Schizosaccharomyces pombe: one gene and its partners. The gene in region 1 interacts genetically with each later gene. Each region holds a gene or a part of one and is shown on either strand. Other genes may lie near its edges.

Region 1 (4,260 bases):
AAGCATTCAATTTATTGTGTGCTTACCAACAATAGCAACGTTAACGTTAGTTCTGCTAGCTGACATTTTCAAATAGTGGGTGGGAGAGGTAGAGATGCTACGACGTTGGGTCGGATTACGAAAAGCAGTGACAAGGGTTTTCTCAAAGGAAACTTTGGAAGAGGTGATATACGAATTGATAATTTTGTTGTAGGGAAATAAAATTTTAGAAAGTGTAGATAATTTAGGGAGATTTAAATTTTTTCCATGTCTAAATATTGTCATACCAAACATTTTTTAGAAGAGTTTATTTTATACCCAAAAATGAGTTTTCAACCAAGGAAGGATCTTTCTCTCTGATTGATATCAAAGTTTTGCAGGTATATTTGTTGTGAACAAAATGTGAGCGACATTATATTAATCGAGTCAGAACATATTTGTAATAATACTCAAAAGCGCAAAATCTATTACTGTAGCAATAATGATGTTGATTTCGTTTGATACAAATTTTATTTAATTTGATTTTGTTTTATTGAAGCTCCGCTAAATAAACTTAGCTAGAAATCTAGTATAGAAGCCGATTTATATAAATTAATCACAAATTATAAATATAACGCATTAAATTTCATATATGGGATTCAATGGCATACAATCATATATTTACTTTTACAATTAATAAAAACCACTTAATCAACTTATGTGATTTATTAGTGTTTATCGACTCGTGAAAAAAAATATTTAATTTTTTGCTTCGTAAATTAAATTATATGCTGCTAAGTGTCTAAATAAATCACATTCCATCCATCAAATTTGCTTTTTTATTATTAAAAAAAAAAAAAAAAAAAAAAAAAAAAGAGATTTTTGAAGAGAAAAGTCTAGGGTTCAAGAAAATGAAAAACTGTAATGAAACCAATCTGACTATATAATTTGTTAATTATATATGCATATTATTATGATTAGCAAACTCAAATCATAAGCAGGTGCAGCTTTTTCAATTTAAAAGTTCAGATAACATACATTAAATTATTTATTTATTTTCTAAATCAAGCTTAGAAGAAAATAAAATATTATGATAAAATACTGCGAAATTAAAATGTTCTGAATATACCATTTTAAATTCTAATGAAGTTTTCTTGCAAAACAATAAACCGATATTATCTTGAAGTAGGTTGCTATCTCTTAAAATATTTAAATTATTCTTCACCTTTTATTAATAAAGAAAATTGAATCAATTTGCTAGACAATTTGTAGAGCAGCAAGATTTAGAGGGTTGTTTAAAATCAACAATTAATATAAGAAAAGAATTCCAAAGTAATTTAATTATAGGTTTATATACGTTTTTTTAATGTAGTAGTGATTATAGAAACTAGGAATATAGGAAAGTAGGCACATATTATGCATCAAGCTCGTTGTACACCCACCACCCAACCATTCAACTACCTACTACATACAACTCACTCCAGTTTCCTACTGTTAGCCATAACCTTTATTTCTGAGTTAGCAGCAAATATTGCTTTTAAACGGTTTGCCGACTGAATACCGTTCTCCGTCCGTCTTACTTTTCCTCGGAACACTTTACTTGGAAGAAAAATCGTCGAAATTCGGTCGAGTAAAAAATTAATCACAGACCCAAAAATTTGACTTCATAAGTGTCAAAAGCGGTTATATTGGATACCTGTAAAATGTCGAACCCAGATGTGGATTTGGATTCCATTATCGACCGCTTGTTAGAAGGTGAGTGGGGAAAAGCAGACTTGATCATGATGAAGGGTTGAGTTTAGACAAATTTTTGAAAGGAAATTGAAATCAGTTGTTGTTTAATACAATAATTTACATGAAGAAACTGGAAACGACTCTATGTAAATGTTCATTCAACTGTTCATAAAATTTGAGGAAAACCCAGGAAAAAGGGAAAGTTTTTTCTTTGAAAACGTTTAGAAAGCATTTTCTTTGATTCTTGGTCTCATTTGTGATGACACTTGCTTTATATACATAATCACGCATATTTGTATTCAAATGCGATTGCATATTGGCATATATCGTGTTTCTGTGTGAATGATTTTTCTAACCAATACTTCCATCCTTAATTTTACCATTTAAACCATTTAGCTATTTACTAACTTCTTTTAGTCCGTGGTAGTCGTCCAGGTAGACAGGTTCAATTATCTGAAGATGAAATACGATTTTTATGTAACAAAGCACGTGAAATATTTATTAGTCAACCTATCCTTCTAGAGCTTGAAGCTCCTTTGAAAATTTGTGGAGATATTCATGGCCAATATTACGATCTTCTTCGACTTTTTGAGTACGGAGGATTCCCTCCAGAAGCCAACTATCTGTTTCTAGGTGATTATGTTGACAGAGGAAAACAAAGCTTGGAAGTAATTTGTCTTTTGCTCGCTTATAAAATCAAGTACCCCGAAAATTTTTTTATTTTACGTGGAAATCATGAATGCGCCAGTATTAATCGTATCTATGGATTTTACGATGAATGTAAGCGCCGTTATAACATTAAGTTATGGAAAACATTTACAGATTGCTTCAACTGCCTTCCTATAGCAGCTATCATTGATGAAAAAATTTTTACTATGCATGGAGGTCTTTCGCCAGATTTGAACTCTATGGACCAGATCCAAAGAATCATGCGACCGACCGATGTCCCTGATACTGGGTTACTCTGTGATTTACTTTGGTCTGATCCTGACAAGGATCTTACAGGCTGGGGTGATAATGATAGAGGTGTTTCTTTCACGTTTGGACCTGATGTTGTCTCTCGGTTTTTGCACAAACACGATATGGATCTTGTTTGCCGAGCCCATCAGGTTGTGGAAGACGGTTATGAGTTCTTCTCTAAACGTCAGCTAGTCACATTGTTCAGTGCACCTAATTACTGTGGCGAGTTTGATAATGCAGGTGCGATGATGAGTGTTGACGAGAGCTTGTTGTGCAGTTTCCAGATTTTGAAACCGGCTGAAAAAAAACAACGCTACGGATACCAAGGTTCAAGTCAAAATTGGCACATGACTCCACCTCGGAAGAATAAGACAGGAAATTCAAAGTAATTTAAGCTCAATCCAATTTCTCCCATTCTTTTTTGTTGGTTTCATTTTCCACAAGCAACAATTCGACGATAATACCGCTTTATGTAGCTGTTTGAACGGATTTCTTTTCGTCATTTCTCAATGGTCGATGATTAATTGTTCATGAAATAACTGAATGTTCTTTTAAGAAATTATTTTTTGCACTACCATTTCATTATTCATTTTCTTTCTTTTCCGTCAATTGTTAGATGTATATAGACTATTGCCTTTTATTTTTCATCATCTAAATTCCCTTTTTTAACAAAATCTGACGCTTAAAAGACGGATGTTTTTACCGAGCAATAGTTGTTTGAACTACTTTATACTTCTTATCTTCGAGAGAGTGCTTAACGTTGATGATGGCATTTTCCGCTGCAAGCTTCTGTTTGCTATCGGTGGAATCCTTTATAATGACCATTGACAATTTTGTTTAAAGGTCTTTCATTTCAATTATGTATACTGGTCTCACGTTGGAAAATAATTTGCCTATTTAGTTATTGTTTATACTACTATGCAATCAAATTTCCTTTTCAGTGATGCTATTTTATGGTAGTTCACACGTTTATATACAGTAGGCTTATACAATGTTTCGGCATTCCTTGGGATTTGATAATATAAAGCCACCGTTTAATCGTAAGAGAGAGTAAGGTGCTTATTATCATTACAGCTATTTACCGGCGAGTTAGCAGAGTACTCACTAACAAGTCTATGAACACAATAATAATATTAAGAAATTCAGATTTATACTGCTGCTAAGGTACTATCAATTAATAGAAAATTTGTACCACCCAATTCTTGACTAAATTCGGTGAAGATTAGCCGAAAGTTAGCCAATATGTATAAGGGCGAATCATCAGTCTAGCACGAAAAACAAGTTCAACCGCAATTAATCTCACGGGTAATTTTGTTAAAAAGTGCAATGATACAATTTACTTTAGATTAACAGAACGTCACAGCTATTCATATACATCCAGTAAGAGCTTACTCTACGCATTCGCTTTAAATTTAACCGGCAGACTACCTTTATTTTTAGAAGCACAAATCAAACGAGATTCTCATTTTAGAAATCCAAAATTTTTAAAACGTTGAATTATGCCATTTATGTAGAAACCAAACTAAGACAACTAATTCCAAGCATTTTAAGCAGAGGCCTTAGCTTGACGAATAGCTTCGACGGTACCACGGTTGGCAAACTTTTGGT
Region 2 (6,694 bases), on another chromosome or scaffold:
TTCTTTTTTTTTTGGCACAATTTTGGCTAATCCTTGCAATTTGAAGCATTAGTTTGGCCCCTTTTAAGTAAAGTTAGTATGCTAAATGAATTGTGGAATAATCTATATTTTTGCAATTGTTAAAGGACAAGCCTGGACTGCTGTATAGACAATACTTTTTCTATTTTTATCAAATCTTCCTCAGAGAAGATGTCTGACGCCCTTTTTATCATGTCACACACATTATGCTAAGTAAAGGATTCTAGTGAAATACAGTAGTTATGCAACTATTAATAAGTCATTATTAAATTGAAACATGTTATGTCGTTTGAAACTGGATAACATTACGATACCGGAGATTTGTGACCATTTATATCGTAACATTGACTAAATCCAAATGGGAGAATGATATTGGGCTAACCAAGTCTGCTCGTATTTGAAGGCTTATACCAAATGCAACGAATAGAATATCATACCATACTACGGGATACACGGGATTTACAAATATCCAATTGTAAGAATTGTCAATTTCCCGGATTTAAAAAAAAAAAAAGAATGTTAGTATTGATGACAAAAGCCTTACTTGTTTGAAATACTGAACAATTATCATTCGTTTATACAACGCTATCCTTCCTGTGCCGAATATAAACATTTTACGTCCTTTTGTATTTCCATTCTTCAAAGAAATCCTAATCGTGGTATATGATTTATCATTCTAATAAAAAATATTAAGACAAGCGAGCTCAGCCATACTTGTTTTTTTTTTACTCATTTAAATGTTGTACAAATGCTAGTTATGTTACTAAGCTTTACTGTGATTTGAAAGCATTAGTGTTGTTAATAACACATATGGATTATAGTACATAATATATCAATTTCAGGTCTTAGCAACGCAATCGTAATCTGACTTAAAAGGATTTATAATTTCTATTTGTGATCAATATATCATCGTAAAAGGAAAAGTACACGAATTAATGTCTGGTCAATTTCACTATGGCTAAGTATAACCATGGAAATGAACAGGAAATAGTTCAGAATGAGCTAGCTTATATTTGCTTAGCCGGTAACCTTTTATAACCACTTTTGAATAGTAAACAATGATGGAACAGGTTACGAGAACCTCAATGGAAAGTAGAACATAGAATTACATGTGGTTGTAAGTTCATGGCAATATCCATCAAATTATAGAAATACTAACAATAAACAGTTTTTTTCTCGATTATTGATTATAAGCCGCTGGAATGATATTAAATAAACACACTCCTTTAAAGGAATATTCACGAGTATTATTATAATATACAATTTGCGAAATAATAATTTATAACAACCTCGCTACAATTTACTTATACTTCTTACAACCGCACATTGCTTTCAAGTTAATCCATTAAATTATGCCAAAAGAACAGTGCGGCTCATTTGACAAAACATTCAAGTGAATCTTAGATATCTATACCTTTTTGAAGTTTGTATTCCTCCATCACAGTGCGCATATGCTTGTGATGCTCATTACCTTATTGTTTACAGAAAACCCAATATTACAAATAGACCCAGTTGAACAAAAGTACCCCCAATTTACCTTTACTTTATACAATTTGTTAATGATAAGAATGAACAACAGTCATATTGTTCATTGGAACTTTTACAAATAGGATCTTTATTCATTATTTATTCAGATTAGCTAACAGGAATGATTACAGAAAGCATCATCGTAGTCTACCGTATCCTAAAAAGGCTTACAGACTCCTTAAATAATACAACGAAAGGCGTTCTAGGCCGCAAAAAGAAACTCACCGCCATAAATTTAACGAACTATCATTACAATTTCTTATGTTCGTCTTAATCTAAAAACAACAAAGTTCGTGTGTCGACGTGCTTTGTTTAACTTGACGATGCCAACATCGCCTCGTCGCAATAGTATAGCGACGACCGATAATGTTATAGGAAGAAACAAAAGTAGGAAGCGTCCACACTCGCTTGGAGGACCTGGTGCGCTTCAAGAACTTAAAGAACACACAAATCCAGCAAAAGGCATTCTAAAGAGTTATTCATCCTTTTCCGTAGATCCCGCTTTCACAGGAGATGAAGACTTTAATGATATACACACACAAATAAATAACACGGTCATTGGAATCTCTAGTAATGTTATGGCTGCGTCAAAGAGACTTCAAATGGAAGACCTACAGCAATTGTCGCGTGAGACGTCTAGAAAAAGTTTGAACAGAAGAGTTTCCTTTGCTAGTCATGCACGTGTACGTTGGTATCCTAAAGATCACCAGAGTGACTCGGAAAAGTCGACATCTAATCACAGCACACCTGAGCGAACTTTTGCATCTGATGCTAAAAACCATTCCCCTAAAGGTCCAACAACGACAAGTTTTTCGAGAAACGAAACACAATCATCTCCCCATAGTCATAGTGCCTCGATTATTTCAGACGGTAGTGATATGGACATTGCGTCCCCTATTCGGTCAACCGAATCAGATATGGTCTCTGAGGCATTGAATGCTGGCCATCCGCCTCCTTCTCTGTATCCGGAGAATGATGATTTAAGTATCCAGAATCCAACAAAAGCCTTACCTGAAGCAGAAAAGGCACTTGATGTTCACGATGCCACGAGAGAGCAGGTTAATGATAGAGAGGAAACTAACATGGATTTGACTATCCAATTCCAAGAAGCAGATTCGTTTTTATCACATTCCGAATCAATTAAAGGTCTTAGCTCTAGCGAGCAAGGTACTGTTTATAGTTTAAAAGCTTCTCATGACCCTTCAAACCAAACTCAACTTTCATCCCCTAACAAATCATCTAGTCCAACTAGTATTGAAATTTCGGATTTCTCCAAAAATAACGAAAATCACGATCAGTCGGAAAATAAAGAAGAAGAAGAAGATATGATGCTAACTCGACCTATTGAAATTCCGCAACACTTTTCCCCCATCGCTCGCCCTTTAACTTCCCAAGAAGCTATTGTTGACATGGATATTACCTCTAATAACATTAATTTATCTCCAGTGTCTCATTTTTCCAATGGCTTAGATTTACAAAACTTAGAAGAAGCGCCTATGAACCTTACCCGACCAATTAATGCTAATCCTCACTTAACTAATCATTCTCCGAACGATTTAACTAATGGAGAAGAAGAAATGGATACCACCTCCGCCTTTAATATCGAAAACTCACATTTAACTCTCCTTTCCCCCATTCGTCCATCGTCACGATCCATGGAAGAGCAAATAATGGACTTGACACAACCCATTAGCTCTACAAATGCACCCACCCATTTGAATGAAGATGATTTAAATCAATTTACCTCAAATATATCCTCTTCTTCAAAACCGAGAAAGGATAATAACAAGACTGCCAATTCTTCAAAGCCCATTCCCGACAGTGAGGACTTTATGGACATTACTAGACCTTTCAATATATTATCCCCTTCTAAAGAAGCACTTTCCGAAGAGCAACCAATGGAATTAACCTCAACAGTTTTTCCTTGTGAGAATTCTACATCTCATCTTGAGGTGGAAGAAGCTGCTATGGACGAAACAGTGGCTTTTCAAATCCGTGGAAACAATGTTGAGTTACCTTCAGCAGACAAGGAAAATGCCGAGAGAGAAGAAATACCCTCATATAGTGATAAGTCAGAAAATTTCAATACTACCTCCTTTACCAACCATGAACGGTCACCAAATGGGAACAATAATCTAAAATTTTCGAAAGATCCTAACTCTTCTTCTCCAAGTAGACATGTGGTAGCGACTCCTACTGATAAGCTTGGTACTCGGAAAAGACGCTTAAGATATAGCACTTCAAGTTTTGATCAAAGTACCTTGCGTCGCAATCGTCTTGCAACAATCCGTAATGCTCGAAAATCAATTTCAACTTTGAATGACAGAGAACTTCTACCGGTTAACTTTTTCGAAAAAAAAGTAAATTCTGGTCTCTATAAATCGGTTGAGCGATCCGAAAATTATCGTCTAGGAGCTACTCCACTTACCGCAGAGAAGCCATTCACCACAGAAAAGCCGCTTTCAAGTCTTCCTGAAGAAGTTTCAAGGCAACCCACTGATGACAAAGGCGAACAAGTGTCTAATGCAGATGTTGATTCTGGATTGAGTAAAACAGAGCGACTAACAATTCAACAGACTAACGAAATTAAGCACGTTCCAACTAATACGACTTCTTCTGTTAAGCTTCCTCAACAACCTTCGAATGAGGATGAAAAAGAGCGTATAACAACTGCAGATTACGCCGATTCAACTAGTTTGGAGCGATTGGAATCTCAGGAACCCAACCGGAATGAACTTGTTCAAGTTGGTTCGTCAAATGCAGGTAATACAACTTCCGTGGGCATGAATGAACATGAGAAGTCACCCGTCAAATTATCAAAAGGTGTGAGCAATGTTGATACATCGTTGGGCGCTTCGACTATTAACACGAACATTTTGAATCAAGACTCTGGTCCAAATGAAGAAATACCTGTTGGTAATGAGCCAGAATTTGATACGATGCCAACTCTACCAAACGTCGAGCCGATAAGCCTATCAGATTTTCTTAAAATGACCGGAATTGAATTTTTGGATAATCTTACTATTGCTAAAAGACGAGAAACCCTATTGCCAAATGCTGAAGAAAATAAGAAATGCAGTATCCAAGAACTTTTGGAATCTTTTTACATACAATTCCCTTTGTTAGAGTTATACAAATTTAGTTGTCAGCAATTACAGGATTATATTGCCGAAGGGAAGGATTTTGTTACTAAAATTGAAGAGGAAACTTTGAAAGAGAACCCGTTACTATTCTATGAGTATAGGAAAGCATCCAGTGATATGAGGGTTTTAATGGATTCACAATTTTTAATGATGAAAACTTTTGCTAGACTTCAAGCAAAAGGTGATTGGTACGAATGGCGTGAGGGTTTGATGCAAGGAATCAAACATGAATTAAATTTAAATTTAACTGGGATGCAAAGAAGCTTGACCCATTTAATGGATGTCGCGAATGTTATTCATCCGTATGCGCAGGAAATTCAAGAGAGATACAATGGTAGTATTACTACAGTACAGACATTAAAGAAGCAGAAGGAATTTGCAAATCAGTATGACTCAACTCTTCTAGCGCAGGCGCAAGAAAAGTTAGAGAAACTCAAGGTTGAGGTTGAGAGGAGACGTCGGCTTCTGAGTGAAAAAGAAGAAAGAAGAAAGGAGTTGGCAATAAAGATAGAACAAGTGACAAACTCTTGCTCTGATTTGGAATTACGTACCAACGCTGAACAAGATTTTTATGCGAAAAACCAAGATTTTGAATTTGACGAAATTAAGCGATACGAGGAGCAGTTGTTAAATCTTAAAAATGAACTTGGCTGGACCATAGTTTCTTTGACCGCGGGCGGAATTAAATTAGCTACAAATAACACTGCTCTTTCTCCTTATTCAGCCGAGGTTACGGTTGAGATTTTGAGGCAAAATTTCCAAGTTAACGTTGATATTGCCTGTAAGTTCCCTAACGAAAGTAATGCTTGCAGCTCAAATGTGCTCGAGCATGTTGCATCGTCGTTTTCTAAATGGCATTCCAAGGTATTTTCTAGGAACTTACGTCTTCTGAAGAAGTATCTTAACGATGTTTCAATTTGTTGGGAACAAATTGTTTATCTTGTCCAAGATTTCCAGCGATTATGGTACCATTGGCCCTTTTTGTCAGTTGAAAATGATGATAAGTCTATTATCATAAATGTTGAGCTATACCTGCGTTCGGTATCATCTAAGGTAAAGGTTGTTTTCGGTCTCCCAATTGATACTATCTACCAAACTACTGAAGTAGGAAAGTTTTATGCTTCTACATCAGTCGCTGTGAAACAGATGTATGCGGAAAGTGAAGGAGACTCTTATGTTAGTGAGGTTTTGAATACTCTTTCGGAAGTGGTGCATTGTACATCAACTTATGCCCTTTCGTCTGCTTGTCTTACTGTTTGGAACAAATACAGCTAGATATTAATGGGAATGATTAGCTATGCTGCGCCGAAGCGACTTCCTTTCCCAATATTCATTTTGTGCTTAACGCTTGGAAATATCATTTATCCTTGTTGTATACTAGTTCATTCGTTTTCGTTAATTCACATGTTACTAAAGAAAATGTATATATTTTATGCTATTTAATATTGGTGAAATAATAATGGTAGATCTTGACTGATAATGAAATTATAAATCTTTTTGTTAAACCCGTAATGCGCTACAAAATAAAGTGTTTAGTTAATATATAAATAAACTATCCATAATTAAAAGATTCTCGGATGTGCAAATCTGGTGTAGTAAAGTTTCACATTGATCTGATAAGTACGGGATCGACATCTTACGTTCTCCTAGATACATATATACACAATCGATAGAAGAGACCGATCCTAAACAAAACAAAGATCTTAACTAATTTAAGAGAATTGGACGGATATTTAGATTTTTATAATTGAAAGTCAGACGCTGCTTACAAAATTATGAGTTTGCAAGCTCAAATTTTGCAGAATTGAAATAGGAGGTTTTTTAGATTTTTAGGCTTCGCTCGGATTATTAAGTTATCCATTTTTTATTTTTGAACACAGTTTAATTAAGTAAGTCAAAGTTCCTGAACCTCGTCTGCAATTTCTGATAAAAATATTAATACACTTAAAAATAGATTGCATCCGCAATCGAAAGTTCACAGACAGCCGGTTGAGCCCTAATTTCCA
Region 3 (4,076 bases), on another chromosome or scaffold:
AGTGCAAGCAATTAATGGTACTTGAACTTATAGAAATGACAACTCAACAAATGTTACTGAAGTTTAAAAGGGCAACTTCTTTACATTGAATTGTTAGAAATGATTTTACAATACCGAATCAAGAATTCGGCGAGTGCAACTAGTAGTGTGATTAGTACATTGTAAATATTTTATTTTTTCAAATTGACTTCTGATGCGATTGAGTATTGATGCAATTGAAAAATCCGTCCTGCAACAAATTACCCTTATAAGCACACAATGAAAAAAGAAACAGCGGCTCTACTAGTTAAAGGGTATCGAAATCAGAGTTGAAGGAATTGCCTTTGCAAAATAGATAAGTAGTGCAGCGAAGCGGTAATAACGAGGAAGTAACTCGGCAAATATTTGTACAGTTAATAAAACTGTACTTGAAGTTTAATATTTTCAACTTTCTATACAAAAATTGATTGATATTCATGAGTTACGCAATTCGCTTTTTGAACCAGAAATAAGCATCGGCTAATTTTAGTAGTTAATTATACATATATTTTTTTCATGTATTTTATATTGTGTTTTTTTATTTTTTAGGTTAATTGCTTGTATAAATTTTTTGTGTAATTTTTATCGTGTTTTTTTTTATTAATGGTGCATGAAACTTCTTTTTCTTTTTCTTTATTTTGGGTGAGACAAAGTGTAACTCAAAGTATAATTCGCGTTCTAGCAAGTATAGCTACAATGTGTATTTCCCAATTTTTTTTTTTTTTTTTTTTTAAGGAATAAAGATCATGATTGCATAAAATAATTTGTTCTTTCCTAATCAATTGGCAAATATCAATGATTATTGATTAACGATATTGATGCATTAAACAATGTAATCGTTAGGAAGTTCAAATGCTGTCATTGAAATTATTCATTTTTAAAGAGCTATTCAATTACAATGGAGTATGTAGGTTAGTAGGTGCGATGATGGGTATTTATTTACCTTTTCATCAAAAACAAAAAAATTTACTAAGTTACCATATGACAAAACAGTTGCAAACCGCAATTAATGTAGTCCTTTTCTTCTTACTAAAAATTTTTGAATCTCAGCATTTTCTTATAATAAATAAGCAAGTGTTTTGAAACCCCAAACATTGTTTTTAGATTTACATACCGTCCTTTGGTTAAGTAATTAATTAATTCATACATCTTTAATTATTTCAACAGTAATTTCCACAAACTCGATAAAACTATATCGTCATAATCATTCTGAAAAGATATACTGTCTTTTTCAAACTGTAGACCCGAATCAGATTCTTAATCAACTTATTTTAAGCATGAAATATTACTCGCTAACAAATCTACAAACTAGGAAAACAGGGAAATTAAAAAATTATGGATAGTATTAATAACTGTTCTCTGTCCAAGCTTCGTATTCTATTATTCAGTATAATGCTCTTTGTTTACCTACTACAAATTAGTATTTCTCGGATCATAATACTTTTGTTTTGTACAGAAACATAATGAAATAATATAAAAGTACTTTCCTGATTTTTTAGAGCCTTTGCTAAAAAGGTAATTGTAAAAACACGTTGTGACAATAAATTATAAAGCTTCGCAGATTTACTATTAAATTTTTTTTTAATTTCTATGTGTCAAAATATAATTTATTGTTTCCACTTAGAGTATAAAATATTTCTTCCGTACAACAACCTCATTTACTATTTAGCCATACGTTAATCTGTGTACATGTACTATAATTCCCATACGTAAACGCTTCCTTGAGAGTACAGGTATCAGTATTGAGCCTAATATCTCAAGAATTTAAAAACCTATGTTATACTAATACTTTTGCTCGTATTGCTTTTGAGCTGCATTGTTTTCAATCAGTGAAGTTCAAATTCCATGCGCGGTACTCTAACCTTCGTTTTATTAAAGGCCTAACTGTTTCTTTTTTTTTATTTCATATTTCTTGGATTTTGTACATTTCATACTTGATATACATTTAACACTGCTGATAATGGCTTACAAACTTTCTCTTTCAGCTGTTGAACCTCTTTTAATTTTCCCTGCTGCTCCTTTTTCGACAAAGAAAGAAAAATCAACATTTCAAAATAATCTTATATCCAGTGATGTCTTTTCTTCAGCATTGAAACCTCTGTCGCCCTTAAAATCGCTAGTAGCTGACTTTTCTACTCACTCAAACCCTTCAAAGGATAATCAGCTTATTTCACCTCCAAAAATTAACCACAGGGAATTTTTAAATGAAGAAAAAGAAAGCGATACCCAAACTCGTTACTTGAAACAACTTATCAACATCTGTAACAGTCCCTCAAAGAACCACGAAACGTCCTTGTCTCCCAGCAAGAGTACTATCGATAATAATGAAAGAAAGCTCGATAATGAAATAGATAATTACAAGCACGATGTCAAATATTCACCATATAAAGGCCAAGGAAAAACCTCAAATCCTTCGCAAGGCACTACAAAATGCCCAGGTATATTTGAAGAGGACAACTTTTTCAGTGTCTCACCTAAACGAAGAAAAAATTTGTTTGAAAAATATGGAAAAACAGATCTTGGAAAACCGGCCCGTGTGCCGAGTCCTAAGAAATCGTTGTCATCAACTATAAAGTCTCCACCTTCCCGTGTTAAATTACCCACCTCCATCTTAAGTAAGTCTCCTCCTCTCAAAGTTCCTAATAAAAACCGATCATCGACATTTTCTCCATTAAGAACCCCTACATCAAGTTCGAAGACATTCGTAATTGTCGACCACTCAACTCCATCTCCACCTTCCATTAGGACCAAGTTAGAAGCTTTTGCACCAAATTCTACATTTGCAACTCAAAAGAGACTACGAAGATTAGCTACACTTGAATCAAGCCCAGCTCTCCGGTCCACTTTGAAATCTCTGCAGAGTAAATCAAGTCCTGTCAAATTACTAAAACTGAAAGAAGAGAAGGCAAAAATCAAAAATCAACTCTTCAAATCTGAAGAAGAAAAAGACCCTGTAGGTAAACAAAAGTTACCTTTAGAATCTTCATTAAGTCCGTTAGACCACTCTTCTGCTGAAAAGGAAATGCAAAAAGCCCCTGCGAAAAATAAAAGGAGAAGGACTGGCTCTTTAGAAACCGGCCTCTATCCAAAGGAATCACCTACACCGTCTAAGAAAAGATCTAAGCGTGTCCTATGGTCCTTGAAACACATCGTGAGCCCTGGTAATAGAGAGAAGCATTCGTTAAACAGTACTCCGGAATCAATTATGAAAAAGGATACCAAATGGCCACAAAACCTTGCAAAGAATAACATTAATTCAGAGCCGAATACCCCAACTAAGTCGAATATTGATACTGGGAAAGCTCACAGTGCACGAGCTCATAAAACTCGAAAAAACATTCAAAGTTAAGCATCAAATTGGTGATGAAAGAAGAGTTAAATTCCGAAATATTTTTTGTCTTCTTCCTATAATTCAACGTTTATATATACCATTCGCATATTATTAAATCCTTAATTCAATGGCTCATTGATTTACAAACATAGTTACGGTTACAAATATTAATGTGATTTCTCTTACTACATTAAAGAATAATATTGATGAATTCCATTAAGGGTGACTTAACAATGTGCGCTTTGAAAACTAATACTAAAGCTTTCTTTAGCAAACTCGTATTATCTAAAAGAAACGAATTATAATGAAGTATACTGTAGAGATTACTTTTGCTTATATATACCTAGTACCAACTTCGAATATTAAAACGAAATTAATTAATAAATACCACTTCCTTTTCTGTTTGGAAATAAACTAGTAAATCCTTTTTTGATATTGAATAGCCGTAGATAGATGTATCTGTTTGCTGTCAAAGGCGTTGAAGGGAGCATTCATCAGCAACGCCCAACTCCTTCATTCAATGCGAAAAGTTCTAATAACTGGAGGTAGCAGTGGATTAGGTAAGAGAATCGCACAAATTTGGAGCCAAAAAGGTCATCAATGTCATATAGTGGGGAGAAATGAATTTCATTTAAAGGAAACTTTACAGTCGCTATCAGTAGCTAAAGGACAGCAACATACATTGACGATTGCAGATGTCCAAAGTGATATGAAAAATTTAAAGAGT

Evidence for each region. A genetic interaction does not mean that the proteins touch.
Region 2: mutations in dis2 (region 1) and spc7 are lethal when combined (synthetic lethality), as found in Schizosaccharomyces pombe (one study listed by BioGRID).
Region 3: mutations in dis2 (region 1) and nsk1 impair growth when combined (synthetic growth defect), as found in Schizosaccharomyces pombe (2 studies listed by BioGRID, with this or other methods).

Annotation. Positions count from the first base shown.
Region 1 is NC_003423.3:3,172,500-3,176,759, reverse strand, and holds dis2 (serine/threonine protein phosphatase PP1 catalytic subunit Dis2), read left to right. Parts: upstream 1-1,661; coding exon 1,662-1,713; exon of another isoform or gene 1,714-1,781; intron 1,782-2,062; exon of another isoform or gene 2,063-2,109; coding exon 2,110-3,041; 3' UTR 3,042-3,595; downstream 3,596-4,260. Other genes in the region: hom6 (homoserine dehydrogenase), read right to left, coding at 27-66; rpl29 (60S ribosomal protein L29), read right to left, coding at 4,199-4,260. UniProt on the Schizosaccharomyces pombe protein: Essential role in cell cycle control. PP1 is perhaps required for exit from mitosis.
Region 2 is NC_003421.2:785,789-792,482, reverse strand, and holds spc7 (outer kinetochore KNL network protein, KNL-1 family member, blinkin, Spc7), read left to right. Parts: upstream 1-1,822; 5' UTR 1,823-1,868; coding exon 1,869-5,963; 3' UTR 5,964-6,194; downstream 6,195-6,694. UniProt on the Schizosaccharomyces pombe protein: Acts as a component of the outer kinetochore KNL1 complex that serves as a docking point for spindle assembly checkpoint components and mediates microtubule-kinetochore interactions.
Region 3 is NC_003424.3:3,180,930-3,185,005, reverse strand, and holds nsk1 (Clp1-interacting, microtubule plus-end binding Nsk1), read left to right. Parts: upstream 1-1,678; 5' UTR 1,679-1,978; coding exon 1,979-3,367; 3' UTR 3,368-3,576; downstream 3,577-4,076. Other genes in the region: 3-oxoacyl-[acyl-carrier-protein] reductase Oar2, read left to right, coding at 3,870-4,076. UniProt on the Schizosaccharomyces pombe protein: Ensures chromosome alignment and accurate chromosome segregation during mitosis. Promotes proper kinetochore-microtubule (k-MT) interactions during anaphase B.